Linked DNA regions of Rattus norvegicus. The protein of the gene in region 3 purifies or fractionates together with the protein of the main gene of each other region. This does not show direct contact. Links are inferred from orthologs where the notes say so. Each region holds a gene or a part of one and is shown on either strand. Other genes may lie near its edges.

Region 1 (4,145 bases), on a different chromosome or scaffold from region 3:
AGCGAGGCTCTAATAGCTGAGGCATGTCCACATCAGTGTACTGAACTCTTCTTTCCATCTGTCTTTGTAGCTTTCCAAGCTGCTGGTAAGTTCTTTACACTTTTAAGAGTTCTGGGTGTTTGAGCTCTGGGACTTATGTTCTACTCTGTAGAGGACTGTTACTGTGGTTACATCTAGTCTGCTGGTGTCTATTCATCCATCATCAGTCTAATCTCCAGTCACTCCATCCAAGTGTCCCTGTGAGATGTGGCTTTCTCTGTTGTAATTAGCGTGCAGTCCCTGTCCCCGCCCTGTTTCATCATCCATGCAGGTTTTGTACTGCCGTGTTTGATTTGGGAGGCAGTGGTTGACCACTTCCTTTCAAGGGGTGCTTTTGAAAGTGGAATGTTTTCCTGGGTTCAAGTTGTCAAGGCCTGGGCAGGGCAGGTTAGCCTGGGGTAAACCGATGCTTACTCAGACTGGTGTCCAGAGATGCTGGCCTGGAGAACTGGAGTAGCAAGATGTGCTCCAAACCTAAGCAGGCCTTGTTAGGAAGGACATTAAAAGAGACACCTGTTCCACATGGCTTACCATGCCAGAACTGGGAGGAGGAAATAAGGCTGTAGAAGAGAGAGATTGAGTTCGGACCAACAGTGGTGAGAGTAAGCACTGGAGACGGCACTGCCAGGATCTGTGGATGAGATCTCTGAGTCCTAGTGCTGAGCCGCAGCCAGGACCCCCTCCCTGTAGCAGTCACTGCCTCTCAAGTGAAACATTGAGTGCAGAATTCTTGGCCAACTAAACTGTCTTGTTTTCTCTTAGTTTTCTTTCTCAGTAACATCCCTGAGACTGTTTCTCACTTGCCCTGTTTTTCACAGAATTTTGCTGTAGCTGCTGTATCCTCACAGTTACCTCTCTCAAGTGTTCTTAGGGACCCCCCCTCTCTCCACCTCCTCCCCTACCCCGATTTCTCTAAAAGGTAAAGCCCACCTGCCTTTTAGACTGGGTTTTAGCAGCCTCATGTTTTGACTGATGACAGCCACCAAATCTTCATTGACAGAGGAACTGTCTTCAGATGTGTTCCTGCTGTAGGTGGTGGGGTAGCCTATGTACATTACCAGTCAGGGGCTCTGTCCAGGAAGGATAAAGGCATGGGTTGACATTGGTACACAGTTAGATGCAATCAACTGAAATCAACCCCTCTATCTCATACAGAGTATAAAAAAGTACAAAATTTTGAGGCTTTGCTCCCAGCCTGCTAGTGAGCCGTTAGGACTGGCTTTTACCCCACTGCCCCTGACTAGTGCATTTCCCTTCCTGGCCTAAACCTACCTCTGCTGGGCTCCCATAGACCTCACTCCACAGCACCACACAAGCTGGGATGGCTTTCTGTCCACGCCAATGCTTGACTTATTCCTTACCTTCCCTCTACTCCTTTTCTCCTGAGCATCCCTTTGCCTTGAGGACTGCCTCTGAACTGTGGTTTGGTATTTTCAGAGCAAGCACCAGAAGCACCAAGCCTTTGAGGCAGAACTGCACGCCAATGCTGACCGAATCCGTGGAGTTATTGACATGGGCAACTCCCTCATTGAGCGTGGGGCCTGTGCTGGCAGTGAGGATGCTGTCAAGGTATGGTTTGGGGCCCATACTGACTCTAGAAAGAATGATAGCACTCTACCGTCCACTGGGCTACAGTCTCTGGAACTCAAGAACACGGTTCCTCTGATTGTTTCCACATCCTCTCTGATTGTCTCTGATTTGGGTCGTAGGGATGGGCCCTTCAGAGATTTTCCTATCCCAAGTGACCCCCCCCCATCTCTTCTTAAGGCCCGCCTGGCTGCCCTTGCAGACCAGTGGCAGTTCCTGGTGCAGAAGTCAGCTGAGAAGAGCCAGAAGCTGAAAGAGGCCAATAAGCAGCAGAACTTCAACACCGGGATCAAAGACTTTGACTTCTGGCTTTCTGAGGTAACGTGAGGTGGTTCTTGCTCCCTGTGATCAGGGGATTTCTAGGCATTTGGGTAGTGAATGATTCAGTCATCCAGACCAAATTATAAAAGGGGAACTGAACAGAAGTCCTCATCGTGTGATAGGTTCAGAGTGCTGCTAGGAATTGCTGAAACGGTGAGTAGAGACATTTAGAGTGGAAGCTGATTTCAGAAATTGCTAGATAGCAGACTTCTCCCCAAGGGAGTCTATAGAGGAAGAGGCTGGGCACGGGAGGTAGGCAGTTCCAGGAGCCTGCACCAATAGAACAAAGGACAGAGAGGAAGGGAGCCGGAGTCCAGGCTTGTATAGGAAATTGGCAAGCAGAAACTGGCAAGGGGGGATTTTAGAGACCACCACTGTGAACGTTTTAGAATCTCCCATCTGTATATATGCAAATTTTGTATGGTTGAGCTCGCACTGTCATTTTTCATTGGTATGTATGGAGGAGTGTTATCCCATGTCACTAAAATTCTCCCCCAAACATTTGAGAATGAGAGAGTCCAAAGAGTCTTACCATGATTTAAGCATTGCCGTCTGGCTGCCACTAAGGGGTTTCTAGAGTGCAGGCTGCAGCGGACCTCTTAGTACACTGCTCATCTGTGTCCTTGTACTCGGAGCTTCATTGCTGTAGCTTGCTGTGCTCTTGGCCCTGGCATTCAAGAGAAGGCTTGGGGGCTGTGCCTCCATCCCTACTCTGAACAGGCTCCTTAGTCATTTTGGACCTAACTTAGTGTGCAGAACTCCTTGGGGTACACCCTTAACCCCAGAAGAAGAAGAACCAACCAACCAATCAGGGTGGTGGTGGCCCAGACCTTTAACCCCAAAACTCAGGAGGCAAAGACAGGTGGAGCTCTGAGTTTGAGGCCAGTCTGGTTTACGGAGCGAGTTCTGAGACAGGCAGGACTACACGGAGAACCCTGTCTTGGAAACAAAAAGCAAAACAATAAAAAAAAAAAATTGAAGAACAAAACCAATGTTACGATTGAAAAGGCCTGGAGCAGCACCTGGCCACCCTGGGTTTCCCAGAACACTGCGTCCTGTAATAACATCTCCTGTTGTGCTGCCAACTGCAGGTGGAGGCTCTCCTGGCATCTGAAGACTACGGCAAAGACCTGGCTTCCGTGAACAACCTGCTCAAAAAGCATCAGCTGCTGGAGGCAGACATATCGGCCCACGAGGTCGGTGGGGTGACAGATGGAGGGGAGGGTGACTAGAAAGAACCCCAGAGTGTCCCAGGGTCTTCAAGAGAGATAGAGTTAAAGGAAGCAGAGTGATCCCCAGCACCCGAGGCCGCAGTTTGTGAGTGGGCTGGGTTCTTGGTTGTTCTCAGCCTGGGTTTCCACAGATCTTATCTGTAACTTCTAATCATTGTGAAAATTTAGGGGGAGGGCGGGCTGTGCCTAGAGACTTGGCTCAGTGGAACAGTAGAGTACGAAGTTAAAAGTGTACGCAGGGGCTGGGGATTTAGCTCAGTGGTAGAGCGCTTGCCTAGCAAACGCAAGGCCCTGGGTTTGGTCCCCAGCTCCGAAAAAAAGAAAAAGAAAAAAAAAGTGTACCCAGTCACACCCAGATCTTTATTTTGGAAGTAGGCTCTTAATGTATAGCTTTGTCTATTCTCAGACTTCTGTAATGTCCTGCCTCTGCCTCCCACATGCTGAGGTGACAGCACTTACATCACATCCATGGCTTTAAGTAATTCAAGCACTAGTTCTATAGTATAAGCACATTTGCATGAATGGTGATGGTTTTTCTAAGGGGACCGGGTGAGAACAGCATTGGTTACATGCATACAGATCTCTTAGTGGATATGTTACAGAGGAGGTCTGGACTTTACACACGTGAGTTTGGTTGTTGTGTGGTGTGATGGGCACAGCCAGGCTGAAGGGAGGGGGAATCAGATTCAGATCCTGGGAAACAGTTTCCCTCAGCTTCTATGCCAGCACCTGTAATGATAGTAGATTTGTAACTGTTCACAGCCAAGTAGAATCAGTTTTCACACTGAACTACATTAAAACTGTCTTTGTGTCCTTGGTCTATCCCAGCATAGAATGGGTCCTATCCACTTGGGATTCAGTCATGTCTGGCTCACTTGGGAAATATTGGTATTCTGAGTTACACACTGGTTCTAAATATTTTGACACATTTCATGTGTGATACCAAAACCTCACACCTTGCTAGTT
Region 2 (4,145 bases), on a different chromosome or scaffold from region 3:
AGCTTTCAAAGTTAAGGATTTTAACTGTGATAGCCATACACCTTTGGTGTGGTGTGGGGAGGGGAGCACAGGTGAATTCAAGCCAGAGTCAGACTCCTGCTTTCACCTTTACCTTGGGCTGACCTCTTCTTGGGCCCTGTATAAGCTTTTAGTTGGGTTTTGTCTTGGTCTCTCTTCCCACCAGTGGTGGGATGGCAGCCAAGTGCGCCTCGTCCCAACTTCATGCATGGTGCTGGGGAGTCAGGGTGAGGTTTCCGTGTTTGTACAGCAAACTCTTTTACAGCGAGGCGGCTCCCAGCCATAGCATCACTTTCGCTCTCAGTGTTTTCGTGTGCCACACACCACAAATACGTAAGTAAACTCAGTCTCCACAGTTCCCGTGTAGCATTCTATTACTGTTTATTGCATTCCTCATAGACATTTAAACTGCCCGTTTTAAGCAAACAGATTATATTATTTAGGTGTTGGAATCTCATATTAATCCCTCCCCCCCCTTTTTTTTTTCATGTAACTGTAGTTAGGAATTTATCTAGTATTTTTCTAATTGCAGTTGTGGTAGATGATGGGAAACTTTTTTTTTCTTTTTAGGTGAGAGATAGGGAAGGGGTGGATAGTGTATTGCCCTGTAGTTCAGACCACCCTGAAACTTTTGATACTTGTAGCAATCCTCCTGCTTCAGCTTCCTGAGTGCTGAGATTATAAGTGTGAGTTACCAAATCTAGTTAGGAACACATTTTTAATATGTGTGCTGTCAACTAGGTGCTGATTTTTTTTTTCTATTTCTCAGTGACAGCAATATAATTACCTACTTTACCCCACCCCTGACATAGAGCTGATGTGGTGACTGTCATAATGCTGCCACTTTCCACTGAAAGTCATTTAAAGCAGGGGTTAGGAGGGAGCATAGCTGAACTCTCCCCGGGATCCCGAGTAAATCATCGTATGGCCAAACTCTAATGGAGAGGAAGATTACTCATGTGTAAAACTGTGTGGGGTGTACTTCCTGAATGGGTCCAGATTTTTCCCAGCACAGGATTTAGTCCCTCTTTTTGTCCTTCACGGGTTTTCTAGCAGGTTCTAGCATCAGGTTGTGGAGCAGGCAACAATATAGAGATGCCATTCTTTTTTTAATTGAAAAAAATTAGTTAAAGGACAATGTATAAGTGCATAGGGAGTTGGATTTAATTTAATTCCAAAATGCTGACATTAAAGATGTTATGCCTACATTTTTGTCATGGTTCATTTTGAAGAAGGCTTTAACTTGGGTAGTGAGATTTAAATCAAAATTGAACCTGTCTAGCCTTAGCAGTTTTCTCATACCTCTGAAGGAAGTATTTCCTGTTAACATTAGTAATGCCAGTCCCTAGCAGTACAGTCGGAAAAGATGGTGTCTTTATCAGTACTTCTCCTGTTTTTTTAATCAGACAGTAGTAGTTTTGATTTCCATGGTATTAAGTAGGGAGTAGAGCTCAGAGAGTGAGCGTGTGCAACAGATTGGAGGTGATGATGCTGGAGAAGGCAGCACATGTCTATAATCTCAGCACTTTATAGACTAGAGGATGACAGGACCAGGGCCAGACTGTATTCCATGGGAGTCTGTCTTAGGAGAGAGGAAAAATGAAGGAAGAAGGAAGGAAGGAAGGAAAAGAAGCTTGGCCTCCAGATAAGTAGAAGATTAAAGGCGTTACATTGGTACATTTTTCAAAGCTTTAAAACAATCTCTTAAGATATTATTTCTCTGCTTGCTCTGATGAAATTCCAGACAAAGGCGACTCAAGGACAGAAAGGTTTATTTTGGCTTAATAGTTCTAGGGGATACTGTGCATCGTGGTAGGGAAGGCATGGTGGGCGAGCATGGGGCAGCTAGCCACATTCAGAGAGGATACACGGTGCGTGAGCTCCTTTTCTTCTCTTACTCAGTTCAGGTAGCTAGCCCATCGAATAGTGCAGATGCCCTTACAGACATGTCCAAAATTGTTTTCATCGATTCCAAGTACTCTCAAGCTGGCAGTTAAGATTTACCTCTGCAATGATGTCAAGTCAGCTAGACATCTGTTTGTGTGTGGTTTTTTTTTTTTTTTTTTTTTTTTTTTTTTTTTTTTTTTTTTTTTTTTTTTCTGTGTAACCCTGGCTCTCCTGGAACTCACTCTATAGACTAAGTAGGCCTTAAAACTCAGATCTGTCTGGGCATCTGCCTTTAAATTACATTGGAAGTCTACATTATTCTAAGGATGTTAAAGGCTAATTTACCATCCGAGTTACTGGTGTCTCAGTAGGAATTGATAAGATTACTTACTCATGAGCTTTCCTATGTCTCTCTTAATGATTTGAGGCTAACTTTTCAGAAAAACATTTCAGAAAAATGGTTCTAAAAGATGACACTGACTACATTTTTACAGCCTGAGATTCTAGGAAGAATGATGGATCTGCCTCCTAATCTAAAGGCTGCTGCTGTCTATCACCCATATGGCTTCTGATCTCTGTCTCTGTTAAGTTAAAACCCAGCTGGCCTGAGTGCAGGGCTGTGGGCATGCTAGGCAAGTGCTCTAGATCCCTGACTCTCTGAATCTTAGTGTGAGACCTGGTCCGACTTGCCCAGGTAGTTCTTAAACTTAGAATTCCCTGCCTCAGGTGTGTGCCCCCACACCTGGATGCTTTTCTAAATTACTGAAGGATAGCACAGGTATATATTTAATGATAGTTTAATTTCCTGATTTATGTAGAAATGCCATGAAACTTTGATTAGGGAAAACTGTATTGATAATCAACATTTTGCATGTTCTGCTGAGAACGTTATATACTGCATAATGACTCAGATGTGTTTGAAAGCAGGGGTATCGAGTGAATGTCTCTTCTTTTTCCAGTTGTATATGTACCAGCTGTTCAGAAGTCTAGCCTATATCCATTCCTTTGGGATCTGCCATCGAGACATTAAACCACAGAACCTCTTGCTGGATCCTGATACAGCTGTATTAAAACTCTGCGACTTTGGAAGGTGAGCTAGCCTCCTCTTCCCTTCCTTTCTTCCTCCTCCCTCCCTCACACTTTCTTAAATAGACTCCTGTAACAGTACTAGTCTGAACCGCACTCATTACTCGGTACTCGGGGAATACAAACTAATGAAGGTCCATGTCAGAATGGTTTTGATAATTTTATGGGAACAATAAATGTGTGTGCCCTTTATCCTACAGTTAACTTCTGAGGATTATTTCTTTATGCATATTTAGGGATCTTTAATACAGTGTTGCTTGCAAATATCTAGTAGCGAGAAAATGTCCAAATAAATTAATATATACAGATACAGTGTTACACATGCTGCTGAGGGAAAAGTGAGGGAGCTGTCTAATGTGGGAGTGATGTCTAGGAAGTACCAAGTGAGGAAGTCAGTCGGCAAAGGCACTTGCTTTCAAGGCTGGTAACTTGAGTTTGATCCCAGGGACTTAAGTTGTCCCGCCTGCCACAGGAGTGCTGGAATGCTAACATTCAGGCTCAAAAAGGCCGTGGCGGCACTTGCTGATAATTCCAGTCACTCAGTAGATGTGGGAGGTCATTAGTTTGAGGCTGGCCTAAGCCAGGTAGTGAGACCCTGTGCGAAAGGAAAGCCTCTGTCAAGTCAGTACTGTATGCATGGTAGCTTTTGTTTTAAAAACCCTTTTGTGACTAGTGTGCAAACACACATAACAAACATGGCTTATTCTGAGTTGATATGTAATACCTCATACACGATTGTCTGGGACGGGATGTTTGAGGATTATCGTGTACTTGGGAAACTTACATTCCCAATGACTGCTCTTTAGTATAAACTCCTTGAGCTTATGGAATACATATATCTGCTCCATCTTTATTACTAATAAATCTCTTAAGTTATACATTTGCATATATTCCTTTAACTTCACACTCAACCTCAATACAGGAGTGCAGTAAAATACAGAGAGGCAATATTTTTCTCTATTAATATTTACTATTAATATTTCCTCTATTATTTCCCCATTTTTGCAGATTCTAACAAGTATGATTTTTTTTTAAACCGCCGATTTCTTGGTTATATACTGTTGCTAGTGTAAACTCCTCATGCTTTCTCTTTGTGTAGCATTTAGCTATAAAGCCTCCCAACATGCAGCCAAGCCTATACCCCACAGGACAGA
Region 3 (4,145 bases):
TGAGGAGAAGGTGGCTGCCTATGATAAGCTGGAGAAGACCAAGACCCGGCTTCAGCAGGAGCTGGATGACCTGCTGGTGGACCTGGACCACCAGCGGCAGAGCGTCTCCAACCTGGAAAAGAAGCAGAAGAAGTTTGACCAGGTATGGCCTCCCTGCCACCTTCTTATGTCCTCTCCCCTCGGCAGAGCGGTGGGGTGGGCACAGCCAGGCCCCCCCAGTCTGCAGCTTCATGAGGGGCGTGGGGAGGAAGTAACCAGAAGGGGATTTAGGAGCAGGTTTTAGACGTTGGCCAGCCCTCCTTCCCCCATGGAGATGCAGACACTGGGGTCAGATGGAATAATAGTAAAAAAACAACTGGGTCAACACGTGGTAGACAAATCCAGTCCCTCCGCTGTGACTTAAAACTTCTGTTTGTCTTACACTTAGTCATTTAGTGTGTGTGCATGTATGCATGTGCTGAGGTCAGAGGGCAACTTGCACAAGTCCATCTTCTGTCATTTACCTGTGGAGCCATCTCCTGTCCCCATGTTTTTCCAGATAAAGTTTCATTGTATGTAGCTACACTTGTTTACATGCTGCCACTGGCTCCTAGTGTGATAAGTGGCAGAGCTGAATGGCTGCTTTGAGAGACTACAGCCTTCAACCTCTAAGTAATGTTCTTTATGAGAGGCCCAATCTGTGGAGCAGGTGAAGGTGGGCAGAGAACCTAGGAAGGCAGGGAGGTGAGGAATAGTGAGGGTGGGCCCCATAGAACAGGTACAGTGGTGCAGCCATCTTTGGAGAAGGACCACACGTGGGATTTAAGCTTTTGAGCACGGCTTTTCAGGAATGTGGGCATCCTCACTGGGTAACATAAATGAAGGACTGAGCAGAGAGATTGCAGAGATGTTCAGCTGCTAAGAGATGAGTTTCATTCCTATCACCCAGCAGTTCACAGCCACCTGTAACTGTGGCTCTATGAGGTCCAACATACTCTCCTGGCTTCTAGTGACACCAGCACATGCACATGTATGTGTACATGCACGTTTGTGTGTGCATGTGTGTGCACACACAGATGAAAGTCGTTAAAAATTTAAACAAAGATCAAAGTACAGTGTTACAGGAGTCCTTGCCGTCCCGGGAGCCAGCGAGCCCCTGGGTAGCAGCCTTGGGCCTGTTGGTCTGGGTCTGGCCGTAGGGTAGTGGTCTTCAGTCTCAGCCTCACAGCAAGACTTCTTTCCCTAGCTCCTAGCTGAGGAGAAGACCATCTCAGCCAAGTATGCTGAGGAGCGAGACCGAGCTGAGGCTGAGGCCCGTGAGAAGGAGACAAAGGCACTGTCACTGGCCCGGGCACTTGAGGAGGCCATGGAGCAGAAGGCAGAGCTAGAACGGCTCAACAAGCAGTTCCGCACGGAGATGGAGGACCTCATGAGCTCCAAGGATGACGTGGGCAAGAGCGTGAGTGCTGGGCTGGCGTCCTGGGTTCGGGGGAGCCTGGTGTGTGTGGTTGGAGCTCAGGGCCCCTAGCTGTTCGTGTCTGTAACTAACATGGGGCTCTGCTAGGTCCATGAGCTGGAGAAGTCCAAGAGGGCATTGGAGCAGCAGGTCGAGGAGATGAAGACCCAGCTGGAGGAGCTGGAGGATGAGCTTCAGGCCACTGAGGATGCCAAGCTCCGTCTGGAGGTGAACCTGCAGGCCATGAAGGCCCAGTTTGAGCGGGATCTGCAGGGCCGGGATGAACAGAGCGAGGAGAAGAAGAAGCAGCTGGTCAGACAGGTGCGTATGGCCTCCTCGCTATGGGGAGGGACACCAGGGACTGCATCTCTGTCCCCCTGTGCAACACCTGGGCCTCGGAGGGGCTCCTGGACCATTTTCCACTGCCTTGTTTCTCAGACTCTGTCTTAGGGCTCTGCAATTTTACTTTGTACTTTGTCTCGGGTGGCCCCATGGACAGCCCAGAACTGGTCTGAGCTCACCTGAACTCAGTGCTCAGCAGTGAGCGCTAAGCATGAGCCCTGCTGTTCCTCAGGTGCGGGAGATGGAGGCGGAGCTGGAGGATGAGAGGAAGCAGCGGTCCATTGCCATGGCTGCTCGCAAGAAACTAGAGATGGATCTGAAGGACCTGGAGGCTCACATAGACACAGCCAACAAGAACCGGGAGGAGGCCATCAAACAGCTACGGAAGCTTCAGGTGAGGCAGACCCAGGCTGGTCACAGATGGGGACAGGTAGAGGCTGGGAGTCGGGGCCTGTCTCACAGGTGAGGCTCGGGCTCAGAAGGGACACAGTAACAAGAGGGGGCTGAGTCCATTAAGTCAAGAGGAAAGGTAGCTGGACGTGCAGTAGAGTCAAGGATGGCGGCCACACACACTCAGGCTTCAGGAAGAGACCGGAGTGTTCAGTGATGGATGGTCTAAGCTGGTGGCTCTGAGAAGTGGCTCAGAGCTTGAGACATACACTTGGGAGCAGTTTTCACTCACCAGTGTGGTCAAAGACTAACATTAGTACAAACAGCTCTTGTGTGCCCATTCATGCCGAGTGTAGCAGCAGGAAGAAAGATTAACCATCACGTGGGCAAGGCTGTGAGCAAGAAGGTCAGCTTGCTGATGGCGTTTTTAAGAGTCACACATAACAGGAGTCACACTCTGCCCTCAGGGTGTATGCCATCGTGAGGCCTGTCTGCTTCAGATCAGGGGACAGGGGACCGAGCTCTCCGCTTCGTTGTTGCCTTACCTGGCAGGAAGCATACTTCGTGTCTTGTCCCTGCTTTTCCCTGGTCACTGACTGGACGTCATGGACGACACATTGGATGATGCCGCTGGCATTAGCTGCAAGCCAACAGGAAGTTAGAGCAGGCAGACGGGCCCAGGTTACACTGTGTGCAGGGGTCTGTGCCCTGAAGAGCCACCTTCTAAGTCTAGTCAGGAAGACAGACGTGCAGAGCCACTTGCCTTTGGTTACTTTTTTGCCTGTTTATAAAAAGGTTGGCTAAAACCATGCCAGGCGTAGAGCAGGTCACTGTTGGGGACATGGCCCCTTAAGGGGTCAAGACCCCGAGCAGGCGGAAGTAGTTGGCGATGCTGACGCCTCCTTCACACAGGCCCAGATGAAGGACTGCATGCGGGAGCTGGACGACACGCGAGCCTCCCGGGAGGAGATCCTGGCCCAGGCCAAGGAGAATGAGAAGAAGCTCAAGAGCATGGAGGCCGAGATGATTCAGCTGCAGGAGGTGGGCCAGCGGGGGATGCAGGGCCACTGCCTCTGGCCAGCAAGCGGCAGCCTGGGGCCTTTCCCTGTCCTTAGGAGTCAGCAGGGAGGGAAGGGCAGAAAGAAACTGAGCTGCACACCTTGGCATGGTGCATGGTGTGGTATGTTCATGTATGTGCACATCTGTAATGGGGAAGAGGGTGAGACGCAGCCTTCCATGTGGCTACAGACCCCGCCTCTCTTAAATGAATCTGTGACCCTCGAGTCCCCAGTTAATTTCACGAGCCAATGCTGAGTTGATTATGATTCTCTATCAACTGCGAAGGGCAAGGAGGGGCCTGAGTGCCCCCTGGGTGCTGTTTTAGTTACACAGGAACCGCGTGGTGGGGAGGGTGGGGTGGTGTTTCCAGGTCTGGAGGAAAGGGCCATCCTCAGTTCATGAGTGCTCAGTCAGACCCTCTGCCCTGGCATGGCTCTTTGCCCCTGCTGGGTCTGGGGTGACCCCTCCATTATCCCACCATGCATGGTGCTCTGGAGGCTTCCACAGCCCATCTGCTGCCCTTGGTGGGCACAGGACCCTGGACTCTAGCCTCCCTCATAAACCTCAGTATCTGGTCTGACCATGTGCAGAGGGACCAGCACTGCAGGTCTGTCTACACAGCCCTCCCTTTTGGGCTGGGCGTTTCCTGTTTATAGCCCTGGCTCCTGGCTTCACTCCAAGTTCTTAGACACAGGGGCTTTATAAACACAGGCCTACACTATGCCCTAGGGTGGACTTGACCTGAGAGCTTAGAGGAGCTCCTGGGAAAGGGCTTATGGAGGAACGGAGGAATGTGCTAAGGGCACAGAGAATGAGAGGGGGCTGTTGGCATTGAAGACTGTTGGTCCCAGTGGGTCATGTTCTGGTGTCCTTGTGATAGGAACTGGCAGCCGCCGAGCGTGCTAAACGCCAGGCCCAA
Region 4 (4,807 bases), on a different chromosome or scaffold from region 3:
CTGGCAGGTCCTTAGGCAGCTGGCAAACTGCCTGAGCAACTGAGAGATACAAGGCCAGGGCCAGGGCAGTCCCATCCCCCGGAGGCAGGGAGGGGACAGCCTGGGAAAGTTCTCTCAGGGTTGGCGACTGCAGAAGACTTTTGTCAAATCTTTTTTTTTTTTTTGTGTGTGTGTGTGTGGGAAAGATAAAGTCGCTCTGAACCTGGGGGTGTGTTTCCAGTATGCTGGAGTGGTGGTCACCCTTTCCAGACTGGAGGCCTCTGCAACTTCAAAATGCCCTGCCACAAGCCTAGAACAAGGAAGCTGGTCTGGCCTCCTCATGCACAGCCACTGTAGCCCATATATGGATGAAGCCTTCCTTGGTTTCAACACCTACACTTTGTGAGCCAGTGCACACCTACTATGCATGTGTAAAGCCATGGCAGGTCCAGAGCATCCCACCTGAAGCATTCTCCTTGCCTAAATATAGCTTTCTGTCACTCTCTCCCAGGAGTTGTGCGTCCTTCTAAGCTAAGCTGAGGGACCCGACCCTCAACTCTGATCCCCTGCTGTAGCTATCAGCCAAATGGCTAGCTTCCTGAGCAGAACTCTCCTACTTAGGTGAGGAGAGCAGGGGGTTCTTCTCTCTGGAGGATTTGGGGCTCTGGTGACCACCAGCACTTCCCTGAGTAGTTTGTCACTCCCAGAGTCCCCGTGGCCAGCAGATGAACAGTTCAGTGTACAGTTCAGCTGTGGCTGCACATAATACATAGAGGCTAGATGGTGGGCTCCAGCCCAACGATGCCTGGCAGTCACCCAGAGCCACTAGCTAACGGCCCAGGCTTAGTCTTGCCTGGGTGTGATCAGGCAGCCCTCCAAAAGTGCCGGACTCCATGAGAAGTTTTGCTTGTTCGATTGAGCACAGTTCCTTTCTAGGTCCGGGGCAGAGGATATCTGGAGGCATCTTCCTGCAACAAACACCTCCAGTCACTGGACCACCGGGGCTTGCCCTATCCTTGGGACTCTGGCCTTGAGTGGTCAAGATCCCTGAAGACCTTCCCAACCACAGCTCTGCTTCCAAGTTGTACCCCAACACACCTAGCAAATTAGAACTGCAGCAGAAGGCCCCCAGATCTGGCTTTCCTGACTATTGCTAGCAAGGGGGAGTGACTCTCTGCCCATTCAATCCAGACCCCGTGTGTCCCTCAAACAAAAGGCCACTCAAATAGGGTCCGGGCCTTCAAGCTGACCCTCGCCCACTTAGGTGATCATTATTCCCGTGACATCCACACCCAGAGGGTCCTGGGGTGGGTGGGTGACCCCCAGAATACAGGCCTAGTAACCGAGTCACTGAATGGGATAGTGTCCACAAGGGCGGGGGCTATTCTTGTCCATCTGGGCCTACGGAACCAGCACCCATCGCCAAACTCTTCATCCTCTTCCTCAATCTCGCTTTCTCTCTCGCTCGCTTTTTTTTCTTCTTTTTTTTTTTTTTTTTTTTTTTTTGCAAAAGGAGGGGAGAGGGGGTAAAAAAATGCTGCACTGTGCGGCGAGGCCGGTGAGTGAGCGACGCGGAGCCAATCAGCGCCCGCCGTTCCGAAAGTTGCCTTTTATGGCTCGAGTGGCCGCTGTGGCGTCCTATAAAACCCGGCGGCGCAACGCGCAGCCACTGTCGAGTCCGCGTCCACCCGCGAGTACAACCTTCTTGCAGCTCCTCCGTCGCCGGTCCACACCCGCCACCAGGTAAGCAGGGACGTCGGGCCCAGCGGGCCCCAACTTTACCTTGGCCACTACCTCGCTGCAGGATCGTGAGGAACACTCAGAAGGGACACCGTAGAGGGGTGGAGCGTGGTACCGGGCCGCGGAGCGGACACTGGCAAAGCTTAACTTTCCGCCTAGGGTGTAGAGTGTTTGCAGTCGTATTCCCGCGGTGTAGACACTCGTGGGCACGCTCCTGCTTGGTGCGCGGGGCTTGGGGACACACTAGAGTCGCGGTGTGGGCATTTGGAGAGCCGGTGCGGCTTGCGGGTGTTAAGCCGCATCTGTCCACCTTGAGGGGACACAGTATTGGGAGTCAGGCGTTACAATCACGCTTTGATGGCCTATGGGTCTTTGTCCAAACCGGTTTTGCCCATTCGGCTTGGCGGGCGCGGCGGGGCCGGCTCGGCCGGGTGGGGGCTGGGATGCCATTGCGCGTGCGCGCTCTATCACTGGGCATTGGGGCGCGTGCGCGCTGGGGAGGGAACTCTTCCTCTCCCCCTCTTCCGAGTTAAGAGTTGCGCGTGCGTATTGAGACTAGGAGCGCGGCCGCCCCGGGTTGGGCGAGGGCGGGGCCGTTGCCCGGAAGGGGCGGGGTCGTAGCGGCTAGGGCGCCTGCTCGCGCTTCCTGCTGGGTGTGGTCGCCTCCCGCGCGCGCACTAGCCGCCCGTCGCCTCAGTGTAGGCGGGGCCTGTGCCCGTTTGGGGAGGGGGCGGAGGCCTGGCTTCCTGCCGTGGGTCCGCCTCCGGGCCAGCGTTTGCCTTTTATGGTAATAATGCGGCTGTCCTGCGCTTCCTTTGTCCCCTGAGCTTGGGCGCGCGCCCCCTGGCGGCTCGAGGCCGCGGCTTGCCGGAAGTGGGCAGGGCGGCAGCGGCTGCTCTTGGCGGCTCCGCGGTGACCATAGCCCTCTTTTGTGCCTTGATAGTTCGCCATGGATGACGATATCGCTGCGCTCGTCGTCGACAACGGCTCCGGCATGTGCAAGGCCGGCTTCGCGGGCGACGATGCTCCCCGGGCCGTCTTCCCCTCCATCGTGGGCCGCCCTAGGCACCAGGTAAGTGACCCTTTACTTTGGGAGTGGCAGCCCTAGGGTTTTCTTGGGGGTCGATGCCAGTGCTGAGAACGTTGTTCTCCTCCGCAGGGTGTGATGGTGGGTATGGGTCAGAAGGACTCCTACGTGGGCGACGAGGCCCAGAGCAAGAGAGGCATCCTGACCCTGAAGTACCCCATTGAACACGGCATTGTCACCAACTGGGACGATATGGAGAAGATTTGGCACCACACTTTCTACAATGAGCTGCGTGTGGCCCCTGAGGAGCACCCTGTGCTGCTCACCGAGGCCCCTCTGAACCCTAAGGCCAACCGTGAAAAGATGACCCAGGTCAGTATCCTGGGTGACCCCTCCCCTCTATTGGGCCAACTTCTCAGCCACGCCCTTTCTCAATTGTCTTTCTTCTGCCATTCTCCCATAGGACTCTCTTCTATGAGCTGAGTCTCCCTTGGAACTTTGCAGTTTCTGCTCTTTCCCAGATGAGGTCTTTTTTTTCTCTCGATCGCCTTTCTGACTAGGTGTTTTAAACCCCTACAGTGCTGTGGGTGTAGGTACTAACAATGGCTCGTGTGACAAAGCTAATGAGGCTGGTGATAAATGGCCTTGGAGTGTGTATTCAGTAGATGCACAGTAGGTCTAAATGGAGCCCCTGTCCTGATACTCCCAGCACACTTAACTTAGCTGTGTTCTTGCCCTCTTTGCATGTCTCACTCAAATCTATCCTTACAGTCTCACCTGCCCTGAGTGTTTCTTGTGGCTTTAGGAGCTTGACAATACTGTATTCCTTTCTCTACAGATCATGTTTGAGACCTTCAACACCCCAGCCATGTACGTAGCCATCCAGGCTGTGTTGTCCCTGTATGCCTCTGGTCGTACCACTGGCATTGTGATGGACTCCGGAGACGGGGTCACCCACACTGTGCCCATCTATGAGGGTTACGCGCTCCCTCATGCCATCCTGCGTCTGGACCTGGCTGGCCGGGACCTGACAGACTACCTCATGAAGATCCTGACCGAGCGTGGCTACAGCTTCACCACCACAGCTGAGAGGGAAATCGTGCGTGACATTAAAGAGAAGCTGTGCTATGTTGCCCTAGACTTCGAGCAAGAGATGGCCACTGCCGCATCCTCTTCCTCCCTGGAGAAGAGCTATGAGCTGCCTGACGGTCAGGTCATCACTATCGGCAATGAGCGGTTCCGATGCCCCGAGGCTCTCTTCCAGCCTTCCTTCCTGGGTAAGTTGTAGTCTCATCCCTTCTCCATCTAAAGGTGACCAATGCTGGAGGCCACACTGTAAGTCTGATCTCTCTTGCTTTTCCTTTCAGGTATGGAATCCTGTGGCATCCATGAAACTACATTCAATTCCATCATGAAGTGTGACGTTGACATCCGTAAAGACCTCTATGCCAACACAGTGCTGTCTGGTGGCACCACCATGTACCCAGGCATTGCTGACAGGATGCAGAAGGAGATTACTGCCCTGGCTCCTAGCACCATGAAGATCAAGGTAAGCAGCCTTAGCCTGGACCCATAGTGGGGTGTGGTCAGCCCTGTAGTTGTAGCCAACTCTCTTGGCTTAAGGAACAACCCAGCATCCAGAATGCTCACAATCACTGTCTTGCTTTCTTCAGATCATTGCTCCTCCTGAGCGCAAGTACTCTGTGTGGATTGGTGGCTCTATCCTGGCCTCACTGTCCACCTTCCAGCAGATGTGGATCAGCAAGCAGGAGTACGATGAGTCCGGCCCCTCCATCGTGCACCGCAAATGCTTCTAGGCGGACTGTTACTGAGCTGCGTTTTACACCCTTTCTTTGACAAAACCTAACTTGCGCAGAAAAAAAAAATGAGACATTTGGCATGGCTTTATTGTTTTTTTGTTTTTTGTTTTTGTTTTTTTAAATTTTTTTTTTAAAAAGGTTTTTTTTTTTTTTTGTTTTGTTTTGGCGCTTTTGACTCAGGATTTAAAAACTGGAACGGTGAAGGCGACCGCAGTTGGTTGGAGCAAACATCCCCCAAAGT
Region 5 (3,981 bases), on a different chromosome or scaffold from region 3:
CCTATTCTCCCTCCCTCCTTTGGCACCTTCCATTTTCCTTCCCCAGAGATACTGATTTTTCCTGATACTGCATTCACAATGGCAACCCCTTACCTTTCTCTCTCTCATTTCCCTCTCTCCCCCTTCCTTTTCTGTTTTTACCTATGCCACCCTACCTCTCTACCTCTTTCATTGGGCCCTACTACCACAGTGCCTCAGCAATGTGCCACAGCTTACGGAGTACTTTCTCAACAACCGCTACCTGGAGGAGCTCAACTTCCGGAACCCTCTGGGCATGAAGGGTGAGCTTGCTGAGGCCTATGCAGATCTGGTAAAGCAGACTTGGTCTGGCTACCACCGCTCCATTGTGCCGAATGTTTTCAAGGTGTGTCTCAACCCCATGGGCTCCCTCCCACCATCCTTTCTCTTGCTTCTCTTATCTCATGCTCACTCTCCTATCTACTGTCTCTTCAGAACAAGGTTGGCCATTTCGCATCCCAGTTTCTGGGCTACCAGCAGCATGACTCACAGGAACTACTGTCATTCCTCCTGGATGGACTACATGAGGACCTCAATCGAGTCAAAAAGAAAGAATATGTTGAGCTATGCAATGGTGCTGGGCGGCCTGATCTGGTAGGCTACCCATTAAAGCTACATGGCCACTGCCTTAGGAAGTCTCTGGTTTCCCCAGTCTATCTAATACCTTACCATTTTCTCAATTCCCTTACTTTGACCTTCACCTCAACCTTAGTCATAGCACTAAATCTGTCCCCATACCTATCTTAGAGTTAACTCCAGTCAGGCTCCTGTCCTTCATGCAAAATGCCAGCTCTGAAAGGGAACATGGGTTCCAGATAGATCTAGCTGTGACCCTGCCACTAGGCTTCAACAGAGTCCTTTACCTCAAACCCCTATGAGTCCATCCCCAAACTTTCCCCTCTTCCCCTAACCTACCATGACATTTGTTCAACAGGAAGTGGCTCAGGAAGCCTGGCAGAACCACAAACGACGAAATGATTCTGTGATTGTGGACACTTTCCATGGCCTCTTCAAGTCTACACTGGTGTGCCCTGATTGTGGCAATGTTTCTGTGACCTTTGACCCCTTCTGCTACCTCAGTGTCCCACTGCCTGTCTGCTCCAGGAGGGTCTTGGAGGTCTTCTTTGTCCCCATGGATCCCCGCCGCAAGCCAGAACAGGTGGGGTTATGGGAACACAATGAGGGACATTAAATCAGAATTTGATTGCCTTCCTCAAGCTTTTCTATATTAACCTACTATAAGTTCCTTTGATCTTCTGTGGATGTTATTTCTCCTCAGCACCGGGTTGTAGTCCCTAAGAAGGGCAATATCTCAGATCTGTGTGTGGCTCTGTCCACACATACAAGTGTTGCACCAGATAAGGTAAGACTTTGAAGAGGGAGGCTGGGCAGGTAGGGTTTAAAGGAAAAAGAACCTTGCACACTGACTGTCCCTATGTCCTTTTCCTATTACCAGATGATAGTAGCTGATGTCTTCAGTCACCGATTCTATAAGCTCTACCAGCTGGAGGATCCTCTGAGTGGCATCTTGGATCGTGATGATATCTTTGTGTAAGTGAGGAAACCGATACGAATAAATAGAGGATGGTTCCCCCACCTTTTGTTTTGCCCTACTGGGGATAGAACCCAGAATGCACAAGCATGTTAGACAAGTACTCTTAACATTTGAGCTACACTTACAGTTCAATACATATATATACTCATAAGTATATATAATATATACAATACTTTTATAAGTGTAGAAAATAAACATGAATATATATAAGTATATATAATATTTATATCTATATAATAGATCTGTATCATGAGAGAGAGAGATGGTCTCTCTGTGTAGCCCTGGCTGTCCTCAAACTTAGAGATTCATCTTGCCCCTTCCTCCCAGGTGCTGGGATTAAAGGTGTATGCCATTATGTCCAACAACCTGCTCCGATAAAAATGTATTCATTATTTATTTAGAGCCCAAGCTCCCTGCATATTGGGCAAGTGCCCTATCACGGAACTATGCCCTGCTTCCCACAACAGTTTTTAAATTTGGAGCAACTAAAATGGTGTGAGTAGAAATTTTCTTTGTAAATGAGTGTTTTCCACCAGAAAATGTTTCCATCCTTGTTTTTATTACTCTCCTCCAAGCATTTCCATGTTAGCAAGGCTCTTCCTCAAACGGCATATAAAAAAAGTGCTGTGGAAGTTGTCTGGTAGTTTATAAAATACCAAGTCCTTCATGGATTTTCAGACCCTTTAAAATATTTTGGGACAAGGCTAGACAGAGGACTAGCCTCTTTCAGAGGATCCAAGTTCAATTCCCAGCACCTACATGGAGGCTCACAACCATCTGCAACTCCAGCACCAGGGATGCCCTCTTTTGGCCTTTGCAGTCACCAGCACACATGTGATACATAGATGTACATACAGGCAAAACACTCATACACATAAAATAATGATAAAATACTTGGGGGAGGCAGGTAGAATGGCTCAGTAGGTAAAAGCACCTGCACAAACCCTGACAACCTGAATCCATGATGAGGGAAGGAACTGACTCCTGAAAATGTATTCTGATATCCACATGTGTATGTATCATACATGTGTATACTCCCTACAAACACACACAGACACTAATAATTCAAATGAAAATAACTCATAGTTTTTTGGACTGAGATGAATGGATGAAGCAACTGAGGGTTTATCTTTCTTGGGATGCCTCAGTCAAGAAAAAATCTAACTACTCCCCCTAACACACACAGATATGAGGTGACTGGACGGATTGAGCCTGTTGAGGGTTCAAGAGATGATATTGTGGTTCCTGTTTACCTGCGGGAGCGCACCCCGTCCAGAGACTACAACAACTCCTACTACGGTCTGATACTTTTTGGGCACCCTCTCCTGGTGTCAGTGCCCCGGGACCGGTTCTCCTGGGAGGGCCTATATAACATCTTGATGTACCGGCTTTCGTAAGTACCATTTTTCTAGGGGCAGGGAGAAGTGGATTTGAGGTAGGGGACCAAGGTCAGTACTCAGACTTCAGTTCTGAGTTGCTGTTTGGCACAGCCAAAGGATAGTTCAAATTGAACATGTCAGTAGGCTTTGCAGGGATTTTTCTTTTTCTAGACCTCTGGCTTCTCTAGTGCTTCTCTTTGGTCCTAGGAATACAGAGGTAGACAAGAAAAAGTAGAGACAACTTCATTTTGTATTTAATTGTCTCTACAGAGACATTTGGATGTAGTTTTATCCTTTTACCTAAAGTCTACAGTCCTTACTATGGAAGGCAAGAAAAGCTATATTATCTGGATTAATGCTTTATTCTAATTCAAAAGGCTTCTTTGACATTAATTCATAACTGATTGTATATCAGCTTTAGAATGTAGGCCCCGGGGTTGGGGATTTAGCTCAGTGGTAGAGCGCTAGGCCCTGGGTTAGCAACCGCAAGGCCCTGGGTTCGGTCCCCAGCTCTGAAAAAAAGAAAAAAAAAAGAATGTAGGCCACTACTGGTGTTTTCATGCACTGCTGTTTTACCACTTCCCAGGTTCATGATTAAGAACTGCTAGGTTTGGTGGTGCATTCCAGCTACTTGGGCAGCTGTGCCAGGAGAAGCCACATAGGGCTAGCTTGAGTAACTTACCAACACTATCTCAAAATTAAAATAAAATCAGAAAAGTGTTGGGAATGTATGAAGCATTCACATGGCATTTTAAAAAACAGACAGATTGGGGGTGGGAGGGAGACTTGCATGTGTGTGTCCTGACTTCTTGACCATACTACCAAGTAAAACTTTGGGATGCCCCTCTACCCTTGTGCCCCTGCCTTGGGAGTTTTCTCTGCTCTATTACAGACGATATGTGACCAAACCCACCTCAGATGACGATGATGGGGATGAGAAAGGTGAGTCCCCTAAAAGCTGAGAAGTGAGAGAGGCCCAATAAAGATGAGTGTATCTTACATAACAGGGGTGAAGGGCTGAGAATCCCT
Region 6 (4,666 bases), on a different chromosome or scaffold from region 3:
GTCAAAAAAAAAAAGATAAGAAAAGAAAGAGAAAGAAAGAAAGAAGGAAAGAAGGAAGGAAAGAAAGGACACCCCTGACAGAGGTGAAGTCAGCTATCTAATTTTAAAAGCAGGACCTTAATCGAGTCGAGCAAATATTCTTTAACTCTGCATGTGACAATTAAAATTAGGGATTGGTGGCTGCAACCACCACTGGTAAAATACCTTTTCCTGACCCATCTCCCCGAGTCAGCCAAGTGAGCCCCAGCCAGCAGCAGAGTTGATTCTGTGGAAATCCCAGCAGAGCTGCAGAGGGGAAAGGTCTAGACAAAGGCCCTCACTGAGCAGCTCCTTCATGGTGGACTGTGGTGGTTCACAGAGTTACGGCGATATGTCTTTAAGATAGGAAATTGAGTCATTTAAAAAAGAAGCTGGCCGTACAGCCCTGGCCCTGCCTCAGTGGTTGCGCAGGCTTCCTGCCAGTACCTGTACATAAGGGCCTATTGTTTACTTGCGTTAATTACAGCGCAGGATGAAAGAAGGCAATAGGGCAACTTTCGCTGTTACCATTGTTTGGGAAGAGACACGAGCTCACAATAATAGACTGGAGACAGCCAATTCACCCCAACTGCACCAGTTTTGACAAGTGCCAAATCGTGGAGGACAACAATGAGGCCATTTCCAAGAGAAGACCCAACTTCAGCCTATTGTAATGATTCAGAAAAAAAATAATGCTCTCGAAGGATACTAAATTAGTTTTGAAAATTTTAAGAGGTTATCCACAGGTCCTCTCAGCAACACACTCGAGTTTCTCAAACAATACAGTAAAAATTGCAGTCCCTGGAAAACGTCCCCACTTCTGGTTCTGTAGACACTGACCCAGTGGGTCCGGGTAAGATGGGATTTCTAGGAATCACACTGATGAACAGGGCCGTGGAGCTGAATCATTTATTCTAGTTAGATGTCAGCAGTCACTCCTGGGGACTCCATGGCCTCCTGGGGTGGGGAGGAAAGGTGGCTGGGCTCCGAGATCCCTGTCCGGATTCTAGAGGCACGGCAGGAAGAGGAGCGGGACACTCCCGCGAACAGTGAAGTGTAGTGGGGTCCAGTGGTGGTTTAGGGGTGTGGCGGCCGAAGCCCCGGTGACTACAGTCTCGAACCTGCGCCAACAGTGGCCGCGCTCCACCCGGCCCGCAGCGACGGACCGCACTCGATCCCATTAGTTTCCACTGGAGCGGGGTCGGGACGCCACGCCCCGGCCCGGCCCCTCCCGGCGGCGCACGCGCAGAGCGACTCGGGCCGGCGGGGACTACTTTCCGCGGCCCGCCCGCGCCCCGCCCCTCGTCCTCGCGCGGCGGAACGCTCCGCGCGGAGCGGCGGCGGCAGGATACACGGTGCCGCGCCGCTTATAAATCGCTCCTTGTGCGGCGCCATCTTAAGCCCTCGCTCGGTGGCGGCCGCGTCAGCTAGTGTTCTGTGCAGCCCGCGGCCCGGGGAGGCGGAGACGGAGCACGGTGGGAGCCGAGCCGTCAGTGCAGGAGGCCGAGGCCGAGCGGGCGGCCGCGAGGGAGTAGCGCGCGGCCCCAAGGTACGGCGCGGCGGCGGGCCGACTCGCGCCGCGCCAGCGGGAAACTTCGCGGGCCGGGTGGCGGCGGGAGGCCGCGGGGACGCGCGGGCTGGGGCCGGGGCCGGGCGGGCGCGCGCCGGGAGCCCGGATGGACGGGTGGCCGCCGTGGGGGGTGGGGACCGCGGTTCGTGTCCCGGCTGGGGCCGCGGCGGGGGCGGGGTGGGCGGGGGCCCCTCCTCCGTGGCCCGCAGAGCCGGGGGACGCGGGACCTGGCACGCGTCCCCTCTGTCCCTCGTGGAGCACGCACAGATAGGTCTTTTTTTCCCCCCCTGCAACGATCTGACTGTGAGTTTGAATCCAAACAACTTTAAACCGTGGAGTCGCCAAACTTGGATGCGGCGTGCGGGATGCGTCGGGAGCGTGTTCTCGGAGGGTGGTGGCGTCCTGGACTCGCGTGGGGTCGGTGGCTGTGGGGCCGAGAGGTGCTGGCGGGAATTCGGGACCGTGGACGAGTCACCGGCCACTCCTGGGGGGAGGGTGTGCGCGGGACCCGAAGCCTGAGTTTGGGGGAGGGGGACTTGCCCTTAGCCAGTAAGTGTGGGGTCCGCCTCAAGTGTTTCTCCCCGGCGCGTTTGCTTTCTGGGCGAGATGGAGTGGCCAGAGCGCTGACCGCCAGGGCGTGGGAGCCTGGAGACTTGTTCTGAGTGTTGTTTGGGGGACCGGACTTGGAACCGACGCTCCAAGTTCGGTGCCCCAGGCCCGCTCCCGTGAGCCCGCTGGCTGCGGGGCAGCTTTGTCTCGGGCTCGGGTCTCCAGACATCTGTGGGCTCCCCTCCCCCGCGCCCCCCGCACCCCCCCCGCCCCCGGGCCTGAGCTCTGAATGGAGAGCGACTGGGCTGCTGGTATGCGGAGGTCGGCGAGAGGAAATCGAGGAGTGGTTTTAGTGAAACGAGAGCTTTGTGCCATGAATAATGGTGGCTTAGACCAGACAGCAAGCTGAAGAGACGGCAGCGTTGCCTTTGATAAAGTCTGCCTCATGTTTTTCACATGGCCAAGTTGTGAAGCATTTTGTCTGGGATTTAGGAAGCCATTTCTCTATTTACTTGAGGCTTGCAGACGTCTCGGTGCAGACTCCTCGTCCCGGGAAAGAGCTTGCCCTCTTGGTTCTGATTTAATGCTGCTTAAACTTGTAGCCTTTGCATTTCGATTTTGTATGTCGGGCTCAAACTTTACTTGAGTTAAGGTCTTCTGTTACATTTAGTTCATTTTCACCTTAAACATTCAGAAATCCCCCAATTAAAAAGAAGTACCTCAAGGTTTGTTTGAGGACGTCCTTTCTCAGCAGAAAACATTGATGACAGTGCTGGGGATAGTCATTCTGTGACCTAACCTTTGTCCTGAAGGCCGAGTCTGGACAAGGCCTTTAGCGGTGGCAGGGAAGTTGGAAACTTGTAGATCTTTCTCTACAACTAACCCTCCCAGGCTGAAGTCCTTGAGGAAGCAGGCTATCTGGGAAGCTTAGCTTGCCTGGGACAGAGTCCTGGGCCTCACGGTCTGCAAGAAGACCAACCTCAAGTCCAAGAAATAGAGTTCACCTGTCATCTGGTCATTTCTAGTAGATAGTCTAGAGCAGCGGTTCTCAGCCTTCCTGATGCTGCGACCCATTAACAGCTTCTCAATTGTTACAGTAACCCCAACCCCAAAATTACGTGCTTGCTGCTCCATAACTTGCTACTGTTAAGAACCATAATGCAAATGTCTATGTTTTCTGTGGTCTTAGGTGACCCCTGTGAAAGGGTTGTTGGACCCCCAGATTGAGAACATTAGTTTAGAGACTGAATATTGGGTATCAGATGTCTACAACTCGAGGGGAAGTGTCTCCTGCTGTAGTGACGATGGGACTAGATTGGGAATGAAGCTTTAGCACTAGTTTCAGAATGCCATTGGCGGGGTGGGGTGGGGATGAGAAGACAACTTTCTTAGTATTTTGAAATGTGTGCTCAGAAAAACTGGTGGAGCCCTTTTGCAAATAAATGCAGAGCAGAGCATGGCCAAGAGGCCTGTGCACACTGCAGGTGGGGGTGCAGTGGTGGGCCTACCATAGTCTGCTGCCATACTTTTAAGCAGGAAGTGGACAGTGAAAGTAGATGGAGTCAGATGAAATGCTAGTGCTGAGGTGAGGTCAAGGTCTCTGCCCATCACCTAGTGGTAAATTTTTAGTGTCCTTGGTCACTGGCTTGGTCAGAAACATACCTGCGGGATAAACTCCTGGTAAACAAGTATTCACAAACTCGTTACAAACGTACATACGTTTTAACTCCACTTTTTGTTTGTTTTGTGGCTCCTGTCAACTTGTTTGCTATTTAAAACAATCTCACTGAAGACATCTTTATGCATAGAGAGAAAATAGCTGAGCAGCTGCCTCAGTTCTGAGGCCTGTGGAGGCAGCCTCTGTCCTGAGACATGGTCAGCCATGAGATGCTTCTGTTCAGTAACACCATTCACGGTGTGATTCCTAGATCAGCTAACAGGTTTTACAAAATGGAAAGTGATTTATGTCAATTGGAAGTGGATCAGAACTTCTTTACGCTCCGGAAAAAGGTCTTCATTTCTTGTTACCTAAGAAAGCTGCCTATGTATGTATTCATTGCAAGACCGGGCTTCCCTTGGCTGGGAACCCAGATTTATCTGCGGGGGTGGAACTCTGGAAAAAAGCATCTAACCTTCCATGAGGAGAAAGACTTTTTAAAGGAAGTAGGCAGTCCTGCTAGGACTTAGCCACTGTTTTGGAACTTAGTTGTCTCTTTTAATTAAGACTCATTTCCCAGTTTCAATTGAGACGGCAGTGCTGTAGTCATGTCCAGCGCCCCCCGGTGGACAGAACACAGGTCACTTTTCCTTGTTCTCAGCAAGTTTGTGTGGAATGGATCCTGAAGACTGTAAGGTGAACCAGTTGTGCCAGTCACTAGACTGGCCTGGGACGGTAGCTGCCTCTCTGCAAGAGAGCAGTCTGTCAGGGCACATCTGCTTACAGTAGGAGCCCAAATGCTCAGGCGCCTCGGGGAGTACAGGAGGCTTGGCTATATTGAGGAGGTAGAGGTGAAATTCTCACAAGTTCCC
Region 7 (4,145 bases), on a different chromosome or scaffold from region 3:
TTTATTCATTATAGATAGATTCTGTGTTTTGGTTATAGTTAAGAGAAATGGTCAAAGAAGATACCATAATTTTTTTCCATTAGAATAATGAGAAATCAGCTCCATGTTAGTGTTTTCTTACATTTCTTAGTAGACTAAAGAATTGAACTTGGATTGCCATGCTGCCTCAGCTAGGTACATGTAACTGAGTTTCATGCCTGGGACTCACAGTATAGAAGGAGAAAATGAACTCATTCAGTTATCCATTCAACTCCATAGCTTCATCACCCCTAATAAGTAAATAGAGCATTTTTTGAAACAAAGAATTGAAGATCATAAAATAAGTAAGTGTCAATACTCTAGAACAGTCCATAGATCAGTTTTGTAGTATATACAGTTCAGTGCTTTGTGGTTTATGTTTTGGAAGCCATTCTATTAATGAGGACTTGAATTTTATATTGTCTCTTACTGTTGAATAGGTACCTTTAATAAATGTACCAATCATAGTAAAGATATTTATGTGTTAGACATATTATCAATGTATGGGATATATTGTCAATGTAAATAAAAAAATTAAACTACCTTCAATGTTTAATTTAATAATTCTAGTGTGCTACTCTTTGATGAAAGAGATTAAGTTTGGCTTCAGCATTATTATTTGATAAATATATTAATTTGTAAGACTTTAGTATATAAAATGTCATCTTTTCCCAATTAGATAAAATATCTTTTGTTTTGTTAACGAAATGGTAAAGCCTTTGTTGAAAGTAATTTCCCTAAGCTAGGAGATTTATGGTCCAAATCTGTTCCTGGGAGAAAAATAGATATGAATTTTGGTGCTTGTGGTCTTTACTCTCTTAGCTTCTTCCTTTTATTTGTTTTTGAATGACTGTAATAATTTCTAGTTGCTCTGTTAAGAGTTATTAGAACCCAAATAATGGTCATAGGTAGTAGTAGCTGTAGTAGCAGTTTTAACTTCAGTAGAGTTTACTTGAGTAGTAATATCTTTTTCTCAGCTTCAGAATGAAAACTCTGGAAGAAATGAAGAATACATAACATGAGTCAGTTTGATTTTACGATATACAAAAGTATAGAAAGAGTTGATTGCAAATGAAGGGGTTGAGGAAACCTTGTAAAACCTTGCCTCCTTAGTTTTTTGAGAACAATGTAAAGGAAAATGATTTTAGGTTATTAGCATAGTAGCTTTTCGGTAAGGTTGTAATAAAGTACAGTGATGAAATGATAAATATATATATTTGTTCATATCTACAATAAATGTTACATACCAGTACATGTCTCGGTTACAAGGCAAGTCTTAAATTACCAATGCATAATTAATAATTATATGTTGAATGAGTGCCAAAGAAAGGGTGAGGTTGTTGGGATTACTTAAATAAAAAAGGAGCTGGTGATTTTAGGGTGTTAATAAGTAAATTACATTTTTTTAAAAATTCTAAATCAAATTCAGAATGTTTAGATATTTTATTTGTTCAGTAAAAATTATAACAAAATAAACATGTATATTATAATAATAAATGTTCTTTTTCTTTCCATTTTCTAGAGGTGGACTACCTAACTGAAGAGAAAGTATATGAAATTTATGAATTTTGTAGGGAGAGAGAGGATTACTCCCCTTTAATTCGTGTAATTGGAAGAATATTTTCTAGTGCTGAGGCACTGGTTCAGAGCTTTCGGAAAGTCAAACAGCACACTAAGGAGGAATTGAAATCTCTTCAAGAGAAGGATGAAGACAAGGATGAAGATGAAAAGGAAAAAGCTGCGTGTTCTGCTGCTGCTATGGAAGAAGACTCAGAAGCATCTTCTTCAAGGATGGGTGATAGCTCACAGGGAGACAACAATGTACAAAAATTAGGTCCTGATGATGTGACTGTGGATATTGATGCTATAAGAAGGGTCTACAGCAGTTTGCTCTCTGATGAAAAAATAGAAACTGCCTTCCTGAATGCACTTGTATATCTGTCACCTAACGTGGAATGTGATTTGACATATCATAATGTGTACACTCGAGACCCTAATTATCTCAATTTGTTCATTATTGTAATGGAAAATAGGAATCTCCACAGTCCTGAATATCTGGAAATGGCATTGCCGTTATTTTGCAAAGCTATGAGTAAGCTACCCCTTGCAGCTCAAGGAAAACTGATTAGGCTGTGGTCTAAATACAGTGCTGACCAGATTCGGAGAATGATGGAAACATTTCAGCAACTTATTACCTACAAAGTCATAAGCAATGAATTTAATAGCCGAAATCTAGTGAATGATGATGATGCCATTGTTGCTGCTTCAAAGTGTTTGAAAATGGTTTACTATGCAAATGTAGTGGGAGGGGACGTGGACACAAATCATAATGAGGAAGATGATGAAGAGCCTATACCTGAGTCCAGTGAATTGACACTTCAGGAGCTTCTGGGAGAGGAAAGAAGAAATAAGAAAGGTCCTCGAGTGGATCCACTAGAAACCGAAATTGGCGTTAAAACTCTAGATTGTCGAAAACCACTTATCTCCTTTGAAGAATTCATTAATGAACCACTGAATGATGTTCTAGAAATGGACAAAGATTATACTTTTTTCAAAGTTGAAACAGAGAACAAATTCTCTTTTATGACATGTCCCTTTATATTGAATGCTGTCACAAAGAATCTGGGATTGTATTATGACAATAGAATTCGCATGTACAGTGAAAGAAGAATCACTGTTCTTTACAGCCTAGTTCAAGGACAGCAGTTGAATCCATATTTGAGACTTAAAGTCAGACGTGACCATATTATAGATGATGCACTTGTCCGGGTAAGTTTGACTATTATTTAAAATTGGACTTAAACTAAAAGCTGCAGAGTGTTATATTTCAGTGAATTCTTTAACTTTGAATAAAAAAGATAGAATCATGTTAACATTTCTGATTTATATTACTCCAACTTTGTTGCTACTTACCAAAAATATTGGTATCTTGGTTGTCTAATGATAATTTTCTTTTGAACAAGAATAAATTTTCTAGGGTTGGGGAGATGACTCACTGGATAAACATTTTGTTGTGCAAACATGAGGGCTTACGCTTGGATTTCTTGAACACATGTAAAACAGGATATGATAGTTCCATTTGTAATACTACTTTCTAAAGCAAGATAGAAAGTAGAGACAGAAGAATCCTCAGAAGCTAACCTCATATGTAAACTGAAAAATAACCAGACCCTGTCTCGGTAGAAAGCAAACACTAATACTTGACGTTCTCTGACCTCCACACAAATATTTCCCCCTTTTGGCCTTTACACACACACATATGCATACACATGCATACACATGTGCATACTGACAGGCACAAAACAAACAAAAGGAATGGATTTTCTAAATCTTGAAAGCCAGCCTTACACGTTTCCATTAAGAAGAAAAGATTTGTTTTCAAAGATTGGAACACATGACAAATGGTATTGTTATACCCAATGTTAAGAATGGAAGTAGGTGTAATTGGAAGAAATAATACAATAAATCTGTATTGTAAAAGAATTAAAAACTGCTCATCAAATTCCTTTATGTAGAATACAACTCAGAGTTGTATTGTGAACTTGATGATATGACCAGGAAAGGTTAGTCTATGTTAACTAGTAAGTCTTTGGAGTTCTAAGCCACCCAGTATCTTGTTTGACACTGTAGGATTTTTTTTTAAATAATAATAATAATTATGTGAATTTTAAAACTAATGTAAAATAGCTATTTTTGTGACTTGGAATTAATATTAATAGTGTTAGTTAAATCTATATGATTTAACTGGGAAGTCAGGAACTTCTAACTGCCTGTTTCCCCCCTCCCTCCCCCACCAAATGATATTGCCTCTTGTCTGTTCCTTCTTTCCACAGATGACAAGAATTGCAGAGTCCGTATCAGTTAAACCAGAAAATTGGTTTGGAAATTGCCAGTCATATGTTAACAAAATTATATTTAAGGAATTCAGGGTATTCCTTGGTATTAATTATTCTTGTTAGTGCTAGTTCTTTTTGTTTAACTTGATGTAAGATTTAGTACCAGTTACAAATGAAGCATCATCCTTATATTCTAACAAATTATAACCCATTAATGAATAACTAACATACTAGTTATTTGAACATTTATCTTTGGGGTGGATTTGTCTAAATATGAAAAGCCATAAGATT

The links.
Region 1: the proteins of Myh9 (region 3) and Sptan1 fractionate together in Homo sapiens (co-fractionation; 3 studies listed by BioGRID and IntAct, with this or other methods). This does not show direct contact. The link is inferred for Rattus norvegicus from reciprocal best matches to the Homo sapiens genes MYH9 and SPTAN1.
Region 2: the proteins of Myh9 (region 3) and Gsk3b purify together in Homo sapiens (affinity purification with western blotting; 4 studies listed by BioGRID, with this or other methods). This does not show direct contact. The link is inferred for Rattus norvegicus from reciprocal best matches to the Homo sapiens genes MYH9 and GSK3B.
Region 4: the proteins of Myh9 (region 3) and Actb purify together in Homo sapiens (affinity purification with western blotting; 4 studies listed by BioGRID and IntAct, with this or other methods). This does not show direct contact. The link is inferred for Rattus norvegicus from reciprocal best matches to the Homo sapiens genes MYH9 and ACTB.
Region 5: the proteins of Myh9 (region 3) and Usp11 purify together in Homo sapiens (affinity purification with mass spectrometry; 3 studies listed by BioGRID, with this or other methods). This does not show direct contact. The link is inferred for Rattus norvegicus from reciprocal best matches to the Homo sapiens genes MYH9 and USP11.
Region 6: the proteins of Myh9 (region 3) and Ctnnb1 purify together in Homo sapiens (affinity purification with mass spectrometry; 3 studies listed by BioGRID, with this or other methods). This does not show direct contact. The link is inferred for Rattus norvegicus from reciprocal best matches to the Homo sapiens genes MYH9 and CTNNB1.
Region 7: the proteins of Myh9 (region 3) and Ube3a purify together in Homo sapiens (affinity purification with western blotting; 3 studies listed by BioGRID, with this or other methods). This does not show direct contact. The link is inferred for Rattus norvegicus from reciprocal best matches to the Homo sapiens genes MYH9 and UBE3A.

Annotation. Positions count from the first base shown.
Region 1 is NC_086021.1:33,687,381-33,691,525, forward strand, and holds part of Sptan1 (spectrin alpha chain, non-erythrocytic 1), read left to right. Parts: intron 1-70; coding exon of another isoform or gene 71-85; intron 86-1,476; coding exon 1,477-1,608; intron 1,609-1,806; coding exon 1,807-1,944; intron 1,945-3,038; coding exon 3,039-3,143; intron 3,144-4,145. UniProt on the Homo sapiens protein: Fodrin, which seems to be involved in secretion, interacts with calmodulin in a calcium-dependent manner and is thus candidate for the calcium-dependent movement of the cytoskeleton at the membrane.
Region 2 is NC_086029.1:76,058,855-76,062,999, reverse strand, and holds part of Gsk3b (glycogen synthase kinase-3 beta), read left to right. Parts: intron 1-2,864; coding exon 2,865-2,995; intron 2,996-4,145. UniProt on the Homo sapiens protein: Constitutively active protein kinase that acts as a negative regulator in the hormonal control of glucose homeostasis, Wnt signaling and regulation of transcription factors and microtubules, by phosphorylating and inactivating glycogen synthase (GYS1 or GYS2), EIF2B, CTNNB1/beta-catenin, APC, AXIN1, DPYSL2/CRMP2, JUN, NFATC1/NFATC, MAPT/TAU and MACF1.
Region 3 is NC_086025.1:111,228,108-111,232,252, reverse strand, and holds part of Myh9 (myosin-9), read left to right. Parts: coding exon 1-142; intron 143-1,225; coding exon 1,226-1,438; intron 1,439-1,543; coding exon 1,544-1,756; intron 1,757-2,009; coding exon 2,010-2,171; intron 2,172-3,079; coding exon 3,080-3,208; intron 3,209-4,106; coding exon 4,107-4,145. UniProt on the Homo sapiens protein: Cellular myosin that appears to play a role in cytokinesis, cell shape, and specialized functions such as secretion and capping. Required for cortical actin clearance prior to oocyte exocytosis. Promotes cell motility in conjunction with S100A4.
Region 4 is NC_086030.1:16,775,014-16,779,820, forward strand, and holds Actb (actin, cytoplasmic 1), read left to right. Parts: upstream 1-1,650; 5' UTR 1,651-1,722; intron 1,723-2,662; 5' UTR 2,663-2,668; coding exon 2,669-2,791; intron 2,792-2,878; coding exon 2,879-3,118; intron 3,119-3,584; coding exon 3,585-4,023; intron 4,024-4,113; coding exon 4,114-4,295; intron 4,296-4,419; coding exon 4,420-4,563; 3' UTR 4,564-4,621; downstream 4,622-4,807. UniProt on the Homo sapiens protein: Actin is a highly conserved protein that polymerizes to produce filaments that form cross-linked networks in the cytoplasm of cells.
Region 5 is NC_086039.1:4,029,522-4,033,502, reverse strand, and holds part of Usp11 (ubiquitin carboxyl-terminal hydrolase 11), read left to right. Parts: intron 1-190; coding exon 191-364; intron 365-453; coding exon 454-612; intron 613-952; coding exon 953-1,177; intron 1,178-1,297; coding exon 1,298-1,381; intron 1,382-1,474; coding exon 1,475-1,569; intron 1,570-2,759; coding exon 2,760-2,966; intron 2,967-3,844; coding exon 3,845-3,894; intron 3,895-3,981.
Region 6 is NC_086026.1:129,516,151-129,520,816, forward strand, and holds the start of Ctnnb1 (catenin beta-1), read left to right. Parts: upstream 1-1,425; 5' UTR 1,426-1,567; intron 1,568-1,762; exon of another isoform or gene 1,763-1,891; intron 1,892-4,666. UniProt on the Homo sapiens protein: Key downstream component of the canonical Wnt signaling pathway.
Region 7 is NC_086019.1:119,261,168-119,265,312, forward strand, and holds part of Ube3a (ubiquitin-protein ligase E3A), read left to right. Parts: intron 1-819; exon of another isoform or gene 820-1,011; intron 1,012-1,540; coding exon 1,541-2,787; intron 2,788-4,145. UniProt on the Homo sapiens protein: E3 ubiquitin-protein ligase which accepts ubiquitin from an E2 ubiquitin-conjugating enzyme in the form of a thioester and transfers it to its substrates.